Saccharomyces cerevisiae S288C: one gene and its partners. The protein of the gene in region 3 binds, or shares a complex with, the protein of the main gene of each other region. Each region holds a gene or a part of one and is shown on either strand. Other genes may lie near its edges. The genes, in order: MRPL6, MRPL50, MRPL16 and RML2.

Evidence for each region.
Region 1: MRPL16 (region 3) and MRPL6 share a complex: the UniProt entries of both Saccharomyces cerevisiae proteins name them as parts of the mitochondrial large ribosomal subunit.
Region 2: MRPL16 (region 3) and MRPL50 share a complex: the UniProt entries of both Saccharomyces cerevisiae proteins name them as parts of the mitochondrial large ribosomal subunit.
Region 4: MRPL16 (region 3) and RML2 share a complex: the UniProt entries of both Saccharomyces cerevisiae proteins name them as parts of the mitochondrial large ribosomal subunit.

The regions. Positions count from the first base shown.
Region 1 is NC_001140.6:392,139-394,895, forward strand, and holds MRPL6 (mitochondrial 54S ribosomal protein uL6m MRPL6), read right to left. Parts: upstream 1,146-2,757; coding exon 501-1,145; downstream 1-500. Other genes in the region: snoRNA-binding rRNA-processing protein IMP3, read left to right, coding at 1,396-1,947; SKG6 (Skg6p), read right to left, coding at 2,317-2,757. UniProt on the Saccharomyces cerevisiae protein: Component of the mitochondrial ribosome (mitoribosome), a dedicated translation machinery responsible for the synthesis of mitochondrial genome-encoded proteins, including at least some of the essential transmembrane subunits of the mitochondrial respiratory chain.
Region 2 is NC_001146.8:669,241-671,918, forward strand, and holds MRPL50 (mitochondrial 54S ribosomal protein bL9m MRPL50), read right to left. Parts: upstream 954-2,678; coding exon 534-953; downstream 1-533. Other genes in the region: YNR021W (uncharacterized protein), read left to right, coding at 1-351; SNF12 (Snf12p), read left to right, coding at 1,178-2,678. UniProt on the Saccharomyces cerevisiae protein: Component of the mitochondrial ribosome (mitoribosome), a dedicated translation machinery responsible for the synthesis of mitochondrial genome-encoded proteins, including at least some of the essential transmembrane subunits of the mitochondrial respiratory chain.
Region 3 is NC_001134.8:144,294-147,419, forward strand, and holds MRPL16 (mitochondrial 54S ribosomal protein uL16m MRPL16), read left to right. Parts: upstream 1-1,893; coding exon 1,894-2,592; downstream 2,593-3,126. Other genes in the region: CTP synthase URA7, read right to left, coding at 1-1,435; APL3 (Apl3p), read left to right, coding at 2,916-3,126. UniProt on the Saccharomyces cerevisiae protein: Component of the mitochondrial ribosome (mitoribosome), a dedicated translation machinery responsible for the synthesis of mitochondrial genome-encoded proteins, including at least some of the essential transmembrane subunits of the mitochondrial respiratory chain.
Region 4 is NC_001137.3:59,163-62,664, reverse strand, and holds RML2 (mitochondrial 54S ribosomal protein uL2m RML2), read left to right. Parts: upstream 1-1,813; coding exon 1,814-2,995; downstream 2,996-3,502. UniProt on the Saccharomyces cerevisiae protein: Component of the mitochondrial ribosome (mitoribosome), a dedicated translation machinery responsible for the synthesis of mitochondrial genome-encoded proteins, including at least some of the essential transmembrane subunits of the mitochondrial respiratory chain.

The DNA of each region.
Region 1 (2,757 bases), on a different chromosome or scaffold from region 3:
AGAAATTGGAAGGTACAGCATTTCATTTACTCACTTATTTGATCTTTTCTTTTGTTTTCTGGTAAACATCTTTGTTTTAAATGGGCTCTCTACAACAAAACATGAAAAGTACTCAAGAAAAAAAATCTTTATTAGCGTTGGAATCAAAAAATATATAGCATTAGCAGAACGTTAAAGAGGATATTTGGTTTCTAGTCTAAATGGTGTTCCCTTTTCGAAACTGTATAAAATGAAAGGTAAGGTTCGAACTTCTGTGGCCTTACTTATTGCGTTCATATTCCGTGAAACTAGTATATATTAAAGGTTGCAAGCCAAGAGTTTCATTGAACACCAAAATGTTTACCAAGCAAGAACACGTCACCGCATTAATAACCAATATAAATTTCATTTAAGTTATTTTCATAGGATATTTACAAGGTATTCCCTATAAAGTATAAGAAAAGATACATGTCATAAAAAAAATTACGAAAATGAGTACGAAAATAACTGAAATCCTGAAGTTATTTGATTTTCTTGTCCTTTAGCTTTATTGTTTCATCGTTAACGTATATTCCTTTGCCTTTATACGGCTCTGGTGGATGGAATTTTCTCAATTTGGCAGCAAAAAGAAGGACCTGCTGCTTATTGCACCCTTCAATAATCAGAGACGTGGGAGCAGGTGTTTTGACAACAATACCTTCAGGAACGTCCAATCCTTGTTTGATAGATGCACCCACCTTAACGTTGACAAATTTACCATCATTTTCTAATTGAGCTCTATAACCTGTCCCTACAAATCTAAGGACAGCAAGATGCCCCTCAGTAACACCTATAATGTGATTATTTATAAGTGATCTTACTGTACCCCACATCGAACGTTGATGTTTATCTTCTGAATTCTGAACTGTAACATTTATTTTACCGTGCTTTTCATCCTTGTCCAAGTGCAAAAAATCAGGGACCTCCACGGACAATTCACCCTTGGGTCCCTTTACTGTGATATTCTGTGATATATTCATTGAAGTTCTACCTTTTCTGATAATCCTGGGCATGGATAATGCATTTATGGAAACCTGAACTTCAGGAGATATATAAAGTGGTAAAGACCCCACTTGAGAGCGCAGAAAAAGTGTTTGCGACAATAACCTCCTCTGAATAAATGACATAGGTTGGCCTCAATTCCTATAGTAAGATTTGCGATAGCTTTATTGCGTGATCTTCCCTTACTTACTAGTATTTGATATTCTTCCTCTATAACCGTAGCGTCTCCTCGCTATTTCCGCTCGCCTTTCATTACCCTCTACTTCCAGTGAAAAAAATTTCACTGATATAAGCTCATCGCAACAAAAATTCAATGGGATAAGTAATATAGAACGTTCTAAATAGATAAACCACCAGGCATAATCACAACCAATAATGGTTAGAAAACTAAAGCATCATGAGCAAAAGTTATTGAAAAAAGTAGACTTCCTTGAATGGAAGCAGGACCAAGGCCACCGGGACACTCAGGTCATGAGAACATATCATATTCAGAATCGTGAAGATTATCATAAATACAATAGGATATGCGGTGATATTCGTCGTCTTGCCAATAAATTATCATTATTACCTCCCACTGATCCATTTCGTCGCAAACATGAGCAATTATTACTGGACAAGCTATACGCTATGGGTGTCCTGACAACTAAATCAAAGATTTCTGATCTGGAAAATAAAGTTACTGTTAGTGCCATCTGTAGGAGGCGATTACCTGTAATAATGCATAGATTAAAAATGGCGGAAACTATACAAGATGCAGTCAAGTTCATTGAACAAGGGCATGTTCGCGTGGGTCCAAATTTGATCAACGATCCAGCCTACCTCGTAACGAGAAATATGGAGGACTACGTTACTTGGGTGGACAACTCTAAGATCAAGAAAACCTTGTTGAGATACAGAAACCAAATCGACGATTTTGATTTTTCATAAATTGACTACAAACTTACGTTTTCTGTATCAATACTCGATTTATCATCTTCCTACATTGTGAAATTATTACGAATAGGCAACGAGGCAGCAAATACAAATGATGTGAGGCGCCTGAGCTTTCTTAAAAGCTGGAAGCATGAAAAATTGTTATATACACAAAGGAACTTCTTCGTCGTATGCAAAAATAAGAAAAACCGCAAAACAATTTCTCATCGGCGTCATTTGTTAAATATGCCTTAAAACTTAAAAATACACTTCGAAAAAATCCTATTTAACATAAATTAATTTGTATAAATACGCAATTTGTAAAATTTCTCCAATAAAACATCAATTTATATATCCGATAATTGTCCGTTCATTATCTACACTTCAGTTGACGGTATAATTATGTGAAGAGCCTAATTGTTTTCTTAAATCGTCCTGTGAACCACTATGTGGCAAAATTCCACCAACACTTGGTGGCTGTACAACATCTGTCTCTTCTAATATCCCACTAACACGAGAATTATACAGTTGCTGCTGCTGCTGTTGCAGATAGATATTATTTTGTGTGGTCAGACTGTTATTTCTTGAATTGGTTGCGCTTACACTTCTGAAAGAACCTGCTGGCTTATAAGATGGTTTTGCCGTCAAATCCGAAGGATTGGTCATTACCACACTTTGTCTAAGTTGATAAGGTGAAGGAACCGCCCCATTTTCGTTAAACTTCATATATTGGCCTTGCTGCTGTGGAGCATAATAGGCATCGTTTGTCGGTGAATAAAACATTTCCGGATGATCGACCGGATTTAACGCAGTTCCGTTTAGTCT
Region 2 (2,678 bases), on a different chromosome or scaffold from region 3:
TGCGCTGTTCCCCAAAATGAGAATGAATTGAAGTTGTTAAACCAAATTATTTCCTTAGTCGTAGAAATCTACGATGGGTTCACTCAAGATTTAGTCCAACAGTCTCCAAACTTATTCATTACCAACGACATCTTGAAAAGAACTACCAACTTGCGTCAGCAAGAACTGAACAAGATCAAAAAGTTTATGAAAGAAACTGAATTGGAATTGGCAAAGGAGAAGAAATTAGAATTGGAAAAAGCCAAAAGACGTCAATTGAAGGCCTCTGGTCAACAAGAAAAGGTAGATCAAAAAATGAAAGAGAAAAGAGAAAGACGTCTCAAAAACAAGCAAAGAACAAGATTTCAGTAAGAACCACTTTGTTCTTCTTTCCTCCTTATAATTTTCTGAACCTCTTCAGTTTTTGTATACGAACGTTTTCCATGTATCCATACATTTAAATAGTAAGTATGTAAATTGGTATGTGGTGTTTTGAATTGCGATGTTGCCTATATACAAGATTGTACGCTATCTGAATACATACTCTTTACCAATCAAATGTCAAGACCGGGGATCTTAACCTCTTCGATAGTAATCCCAGAATCCAATAATCCCTTCTTTTCCTCTTTTGGCTTCTCTTCTTTCTTGTGGCCAAAAACAGATTCTTTACGTAACTCCATGTTCTTTTGAACTTCCGTTTCATGGCGTTTAGAGAGCTGTTGATGGTCTTCCTCTAGCTTTGCCTCAAGTGTTTGGTATTGTTTTAACAGTTCCGTATTTATGTCGTGTTCTTCGCTGAGTATGTATTTTGCACCATTGAAGTTATGTAAATAGTTTCTCATTAAAGATGGTTTGACATTTGCAACTTGTCCTTTATATAATTGAAATCGCGGGAAATCCTTCAGGACTTGAACCTTGACCCTGTGGGTTCTCTTTGTCAGAGCGCTCAGACACACCTGGGTGCAATGTAGCATCTTTGGTCGACCTGTTTCGTTCGTTATTTAGTTAGCCTTTTATATTCCTTACGGTATAACGTAACTTAACTGCCCTTTGAGTTTGCTTTTTCATCGGAAAGAACAAATGAACTAAAAACTTGCAATAATAAACAAAAAAAATACAAAATAACGTGGATGTATTAAACCAAAAACAAAATAAGACAACTCTAAAGCTGTCAAACAGAGATCTAACGGATTGAACCATGTCCAAAGTAATGAAACCCAGCAACGGAAAAGGTTCTAGAAAGAGTTCAAAAGCAGCCACACCTGATACTAAAAATTTCTTTCATGCAAAGAAAAAGGATCCGGTGAACCAAGATAAAGCAAATAATGCTTCTCAAATTACGCCAACAGTGCCACATTCTCATCCATCAGATATGGTTATCCCTGACCATTTAGCCGAATTGATTCCTGAGCTGTATTCTTTCCAACAACTGGTGGATTCCGAGAAAAGATTAGATCATTTTATTCATCTGCGAAACTTACATATGAAGCGAATGGTTGCGCAGTGGGAGAGGTCAAAGCTATCCCAAGAGTTTCTTTATCCTCATTTAAATTTTCCAAATGTAAAATTTCTCCGAATCTTCATTTCAAATGTTAGTGAAAACCAACCCTGGCAAATGGACACAAACAATGAGGCTGACCTTATGGCACTGGAGAATGCCACTTGGACGATGAGAATCGAAGGTCGATTATTGGACAATGTGCAAGCTAATGATCCAGCAAGAGAAAAATTTAGCTCATTCATAGAATCGATAGTGGTAGACTTCAAAAATAAGGAAAACGATAATGTGCCATCGACTAAATTTAATGCGGCCCCTGAAGAAAATGCCACCGAAGGACCCAGTGATAAGAAATTGAACTTAAACTTACCGTTACAATTTTCACTGCCGAATGGTGACAACTCTACTACGACTAATACCGACCAAAATAATGCCACGATGGGGGAGGAGACTGCCAAAAAGGATATGAGTTCTACAACTCCAAAACTAGAATCAGTGAAATGGCAGTATGACCCGAATAATCCTGTAGACTTCGATGGTCTCGATATTAAGAGGGTAGGGTCTGAAAATGTAGAATGCACTATAAGCATCCTGCGAAAATCATCCCCAGAAGAGCCATTTATGAGCTACTCTCCACAACTAACCGCAATAATAGGATTGAAGAGCGGTACATCACATGATGCAATATTTTCCATATATAAATACATCCATTTAAATGAATTGCTTACCAATGATGAGTCTGCATTCGAAAATTTGATGGGCAACAGGAACAATCACAATAGCAACACCAGTACTAGTAAGATGCTTGATGCAGCCTCCAGTCAAGTTTCTATTGTAAAATTAGACACTCAGCTTATTACCTTATTACCCAGCAGTCTTAAAGAATCTTCTCCAGATACAATGAAATTAACGGATTTACTGTCCCTTATTAATAGTACTCACCTGCTCCCATTACAGCCAATTGAAATTGATTACACAGTACGCGTTGATAAAGCTTCCACTTATGGTGAGTTGGTTCTTGATATTGAAGTACCTGATGTCAACGCTCTAAAATTCAATAATACACAAAGAGAAAGTCAAATTGGGGCTGCTGAATTGAATGAAAATGCCAGGGAATTGGAACAAATCAAACCCAAGATAGCTTTACAGGACAAAGAAATAACGTCCGTTCTCTCGAATCTACACGAGAGCAACAAACGAT
Region 3 (3,126 bases):
CACCGTATAACTTCTTGATTTGACTCCATTCAGTTTCATTTTGGAAAAATGTTGGTCTCAAACCTAATCTCATTGAGCCCCCCATGGTTTCCTTGTCAATTTCAGGCATGAAAACGACAACGTGATTTTTTTCATCAATGTCTGGATAAAATTCTGCCGAATGACTGTCTTTTCTTCCCAACACACTACGTGTAAATTCAATGGTGGCAATTTGTAAACCCAGGCAAACCCCTAAGAATGGAATGTGATTTTCACGAGCCCATCTAGCAGCCAAAACCATACCTTCAGTACCTCTAACACCAAAACCACCGGGGATTAAGATACCGTCTGCGGTACTGACCATGTTCCATGCTTCATGAAATTTAGTTTTGTTGCTTTCTTGTGCTTCAGGTTCCAAATCAGTAGCTTCCACCCATTTAATGTCTAACTTACGACGACACTTCATGGATGAATGTTCCAATGCTTTTATCACTGATAGATAAGAATCTTTCAAGTTGGTGTATTTCCCAACCAAAGCAATCTTCACTGTTTCCATGGATTCATCGAAGTTACCTGTTGTGGCCTTCCATTTAGACAATAATTCCAGGCCTCTTTGTTTTTCTTCTTCTGTAAGTGATATTTCATCTAACTTTAATCTGGCGTGTAAGTAATCAATCATCTTTTGTTCCAGTAGCAACAATGGGACGTGATAAGTAGAATTAACATCGTGAACGTTAACCACCTGTTCAGGCCCCACATGACAAAACATGGCAATCTTATCGATTGTTGGTTTATCCAAAGTTTCACTACATCTACAGGCGATCATATCTGGAACTAAACCAAGAGACCTCAAACCTTTGATGGCAGCTTGAGTTGGCTTAGTTTTTTGTTCACCGTGGATGACAGGAACTAGAGAAACGTGTATCAAGGCAAAATTTTCCTTTCCAACTTTAAATTGGAATTGTCTTAGTGCCTCCACAAAAGGAGCACTTTCAATGTCACCAACTGTCCCACCCAATTCAATGATACAAACATCTGGTTCCATACCGGTGTCATCTACAGGAATTTTGGCCACGCGCTCAATCCAATCTTGGATAGCGTTGGTCAAATGAGGGACAATTTGCACGGTTTTGCCTAAATAGTCACCTTTTCTTTCCTTAGCAATAACGTGCGAGTATATTTTACCAGTAGTAATGTTATGATCTTTAGTCAAAGTAACTCCAAGGTATCTCTCGTAGTTACCCAAGTCCAAATCTGTTTCACCACCGTCGTCAAGCACGAAACATTCACCATGTTCCAAAGGAGACATAGTACCTGCATCAATGTTCATATAAGGGTCAATTTTAATTGACGTAACCTTTAAACCGAGGGTTTTCATTAGCATACCAGTTGAAGATGCAAGAACACCTTTACCGATACCCGAAATGACACCACCTGAAACAACAACGTACTTCATTTTCTGTCTATAAGTTTCTTTTGTTCTATTGACCAATTCACTGAGAAACTGCCTGAAACTTTTTCGACCTTAGAATGGCAGAAAAATGGCAAATACTGTAAAATACTTAACATTTAACTAAATTTTATTCTATGCTTTTCCTCTCGATGAGATGAGCTGTGAAAAATTTTGAAAAAAAAAAAAAAAAAAAAAAAAAAAAAAATTTGTTATCACCAATAACGAGAAACCTAACTCTAAAACTTAGGGTCAAAGAACAGAACCCTAGGCTTTGTATCCAGTTGAATCACTAATTACGAAAGAATGCTGGTGGAAATAATAATATCATATTGGTGCTCAAATAACAAGAAGACTTCTTTGGAAGAAATTATTACCAATTAACAGTCCACTTGTAGAGCGTACATATTGCCGGGAAGTTGATTACCTTTCACCAGAGGTACAGAGGAATAGAATTTTGCAACATGTTCCCCTATTTAACAAGAATGAATTTATCCATAAAGATGGGAGGGCTAACTTTAAAAGAAAGTTCCCCCAATGCTTTTTTAAATAACACCACTATTGCTAGGAGATTCAAGCATGAATATGCCCCACGTTTCAAAATCGTACAGAAAAAGCAAAAAGGTAGAGTGCCAGTTCGTACAGGTGGTTCAATAAAGGGATCCACTTTGCAATTTGGTAAGTACGGATTACGACTGAAAAGCGAAGGTATTAGGATATCCGCGCAACAGCTGAAGGAAGCAGATAACGCAATTATGAGATATGTCAGGCCTTTAAACAATGGTCATTTGTGGAGGCGTTTGTGTACAAACGTTGCTGTATGTATCAAGGGTAACGAAACAAGAATGGGTAAAGGTAAAGGTGGGTTTGACCACTGGATGGTGAGGGTACCCACAGGGAAGATCCTTTTCGAAATAAATGGTGATGATTTGCATGAAAAAGTCGCACGGGAAGCCTTCAGAAAAGCAGGCACCAAGTTACCTGGGGTATATGAATTTGTATCCTTGGATTCTCTGGTTAGAGTTGGATTACATAGTTTCAAAAATCCTAAAGACGACCCAGTGAAGAATTTTTACGATGAAAATGCAAAGAAGCCATCAAAGAAGTATTTGAATATTTTAAAGTCTCAAGAACCACAGTACAAACTCTTCAGAGGACGTTGAACGGATTGAACACACCATGTATACATGTATATAACTATTGAAAAATATCGATATTCACAATCAAGTAATCTAGCCATGGCTATGAGTTTATTAATTCTAGTATGCACTGTATACTCTCTGCGGAAGAATAGGAGTTTTTCCCCGGAGTGAGCGCTGAAGAAACACATGACGACGTGAAAAAACACTTGTTTGATCCAGCTGAGGTATAAACACTGAGAAATATTTGAGGGTCAAAGAAGCACTAGGAACGTTACAGTTGGAATTTGCTAGTCAATCGAGTTTCCAATTTCGCAACCTTTATTATAGTACTAATCTTATAAGCCATGGATCGCAAAAAAACACTTATAAACTCAAGTGTTTCTAATAATAACAGTACCATCAAGGGCCTACAGTTATTCATTGCAGATCTTCGTTCTGCACAACAAGCACAAGAGCAGGAAAAGAGAATACAATCTGAAATTGTCAAAATTAAACAGCATTTCGATGCTGCAAAGAAAAAACAAGGCAATCACGACAGATTAGGTGGCTATCAAA
Region 4 (3,502 bases), on a different chromosome or scaffold from region 3:
TCGAGATTATAGAAATGCCCAAAAGGAAGTCGATAGTGCTACATAATTATGTAACTTCATCCTCCTTCCTTTTATACTTTGTCGTTCGCTACCCTATTACATTATTAATTCTTGCATTTCAGCTTCCTTTAAATTTGATAGCTGTTTCCCATCGTACTTTTTGTCAACTAATTCTGTCCTATATGATAATTGAAGAGTGGGTGAATTTTGAGATAATTGTTGGGATTCCATTTTTAATAAGGCAATAATATTAGGTATGTAGAATGTACTAGAAGTTCTCCTCGAGGATTTAGGAATCCATAAAAGGGAATCTGCAATTCTACACAATTCTATAAATATTATTATCATCATTTTATATGTTAATATTCATTGATCCTATTACATTATCAATCCTTGCGTTTCAGCTTCCACTAATTTAGATGACTATTTCTCATCATTTGCGTCATCTTCTAACACCGTATATGATAATATACTAGTAACGTAAATACTAGTTAGTAGATGATAGTTGATCTTTATTCCAACAATAATACATATTAATACTATATACATAAGATCAAAGATGAAACTTGCTTCTTATTCCAGCAAGATTCTATATGCCATGATATACGACGAATAATATTTTGTGAATCAAGTTGATACTCCAAGGTTATGTTCTAATCTATGTTCTGTGGGTTCTTTATTTTTTGAATAACAACAAATAGTAAGCGCAAGTGGTTTAGTGGTAAAATCCAACGTTGCCATCGTTGGGCCCCCGGTTCGATTCCGGGCTTGCGCAGCTTTATTTTTTTAATCCATTCATTTCATGAGCAACTGTCAACTAATTCCAATACGAAGAGCCTAATTCTTTGATAGTTCCTTTTCTTTTCTAGTTTAGATTTCAGAAAGCGTAAACAACAATTTTAATCATCGTATTCAAATTTACATCGAACACGTTCATGATTAGCATGGAGTGTAATCATCATCAAAAAAAAAAAAAAAGAGGAGTGATAATGGCAATTAAGACAATTTTTTATATAACAGTAAGAATTGATATTGAAACCAAATTGTGCTTAACAAAAAAAACTAGGTCGAATGGATATTTTTCTTAATCCAACCGTACCGCTGTGTACAAATGAGGCAAAAGAGGTAAAATGTTTGAGAAAAGATTCCTTTCTTCAGCAATCCTTTTCTTGCATTAAATACATGTTCCTTGAGAAAACTTTTGATGTTTAATGTGTAAATATCTCATTAATTTCAGAATTTTCAGTGTTTGTTGTTTGTAAAATCAGTCATTTCAAAGATCCGCTTGGGGCGACAACTTAGTCATCATGTTAATGAGATACCAACAAAAAACTGTACTTGTAAGTTGTCTTTATCATCTCTAAAGGAACAATAATGCAGAAGAGAAAAAAGTAAAGAAAGTAATACACAAACATCCCCCTCTTGGCTTTATAAGCATACGCAAACAGTATAGTTCGAAAAAAAAAGTATTAGTACGATCTATTTTTGTTTGTCAGGAACTCCTGTTCCTTAACACATTCTATAGAAATATCTATATGTTACCATCCACGTACAGGTTGAAGCGCTTGGTATTTAAGATGAATAAGTATATTCTACGGTTAAATTTGAATAGAACCTCTGTTCTTTAAATACTCAAAAAAAATTTTCCATGCAAAAAAAAGACTACGCGAGGTGGAAAGTTAGGGCTTGAACCTATAATTGAAAGAGAAAGGGAACGTATGGGAAACTGAAAGCGAGTTCTAACTAAGCAAAAGAGAACGTTGTAAACTAGTCCAGAAATACGCAGAGAAGATAATTTAAGTGTTTATGAAAGATGTTGGTGCTAGGGTCTCTTAGATCGGCGCTGTCGTGCAGTTCCACAGCATCGCTTATTAGTAAGAGAAACCCTTGTTATCCATACGGTATACTCTGTCGAACTCTATCTCAGAGTGTTAAATTGTGGCAAGAGAATACTTCAAAAGATGACTCCAGTTTGAACATTACTCCACGATTACTAAAGATTATACCTAACGATACTGATATCGTGACTCTTGAGAAGCAGGATGAATTGATTAAAAGACGTCGTAAACTTTCGAAAGAAGTGACCCAGATGAAGAGGCTAAAACCCGTCTCACCTGGTTTGAGATGGTACCGTTCCCCCATTTATCCATATTTGTACAAAGGTCGTCCGGTTAGAGCCCTAACTGTTGTTCGAAAGAAGCACGGTGGTAGAAATAATTCAGGAAAAATCACTGTCCGTCACCAAGGTGGTGGCCATAGAAATAGAACGAGGCTGATAGACTTTAACAGATGGGAAGGTGGTGCACAAACGGTGCAAAGGATTGAGTACGATCCGGGTAGATCCTCTCATATCGCCCTATTGAAGCATAATACTACCGGCGAATTGTCTTATATTATTGCTTGTGATGGGTTACGCCCAGGCGATGTGGTCGAATCCTTCAGAAGAGGTATTCCTCAAACTTTACTGAATGAAATGGGCGGGAAAGTAGACCCTGCTATCTTGAGTGTTAAGACTACCCAAAGAGGCAACTGTCTACCTATTTCCATGATCCCCATAGGTACTATTATTCACAACGTTGGCATAACACCCGTTGGACCTGGAAAATTTTGTCGCTCTGCTGGTACATATGCCAGAGTCCTTGCGAAATTACCTGAAAAAAAGAAAGCTATTGTTAGATTACAAAGCGGTGAACATCGTTATGTGTCTTTAGAGGCTGTCGCTACCATTGGCGTGGTCTCCAATATTGACCATCAAAACAGATCTCTTGGTAAAGCCGGCAGATCAAGATGGTTAGGGATAAGACCCACTGTTAGAGGTGTTGCCATGAATAAATGTGACCATCCTCACGGTGGTGGCCGTGGTAAATCCAAGTCTAATAAATTATCAATGTCTCCATGGGGACAACTGGCAAAGGGGTACAAGACTAGAAGGGGTAAAAATCAAAATAGAATGAAAGTAAAAGACAGACCAAGAGGCAAAGATGCAAGATTATAAATAGGCTAATTTTAGTAGAAAAGAAGCAACATAGGGACCTTTTCTTCGTTGTTCTGGTTACATTTATCTGTACTATATAATTTTGCACAGCCTGTAGACAATGCCGCTTGTCCACAATCATGTAAATATAAATATTGAAACTTTTCACTTGTTTAAAATTTATGGCAAACCACTTTAATACTTTTTTCTTTTTAGGTACAATATTTACATTTTGATACTGTCCATCAGATTTTAGTCACTAACATCTAAGTTAAGGAAGTAAGAGATTCAGACTCCGGTAAGGAAAAAAAAAAAAAAGAAAAAAAAAAAACAAACTCTGAAATGAAAGCATTAGAAGAAAAAGTTATATCTCATGTACAATTTGAGCAAATTTGGACCGATATGATTTGAGGTTGTATGATAAGAAGTGCTATTTATGATTGTTTAAAAAGATGTTATTTTATTAAACAATTATACAAAATATCCTTTTTTTTAATAATGGCTTACATATTTTTGAAAAGGGTCTTG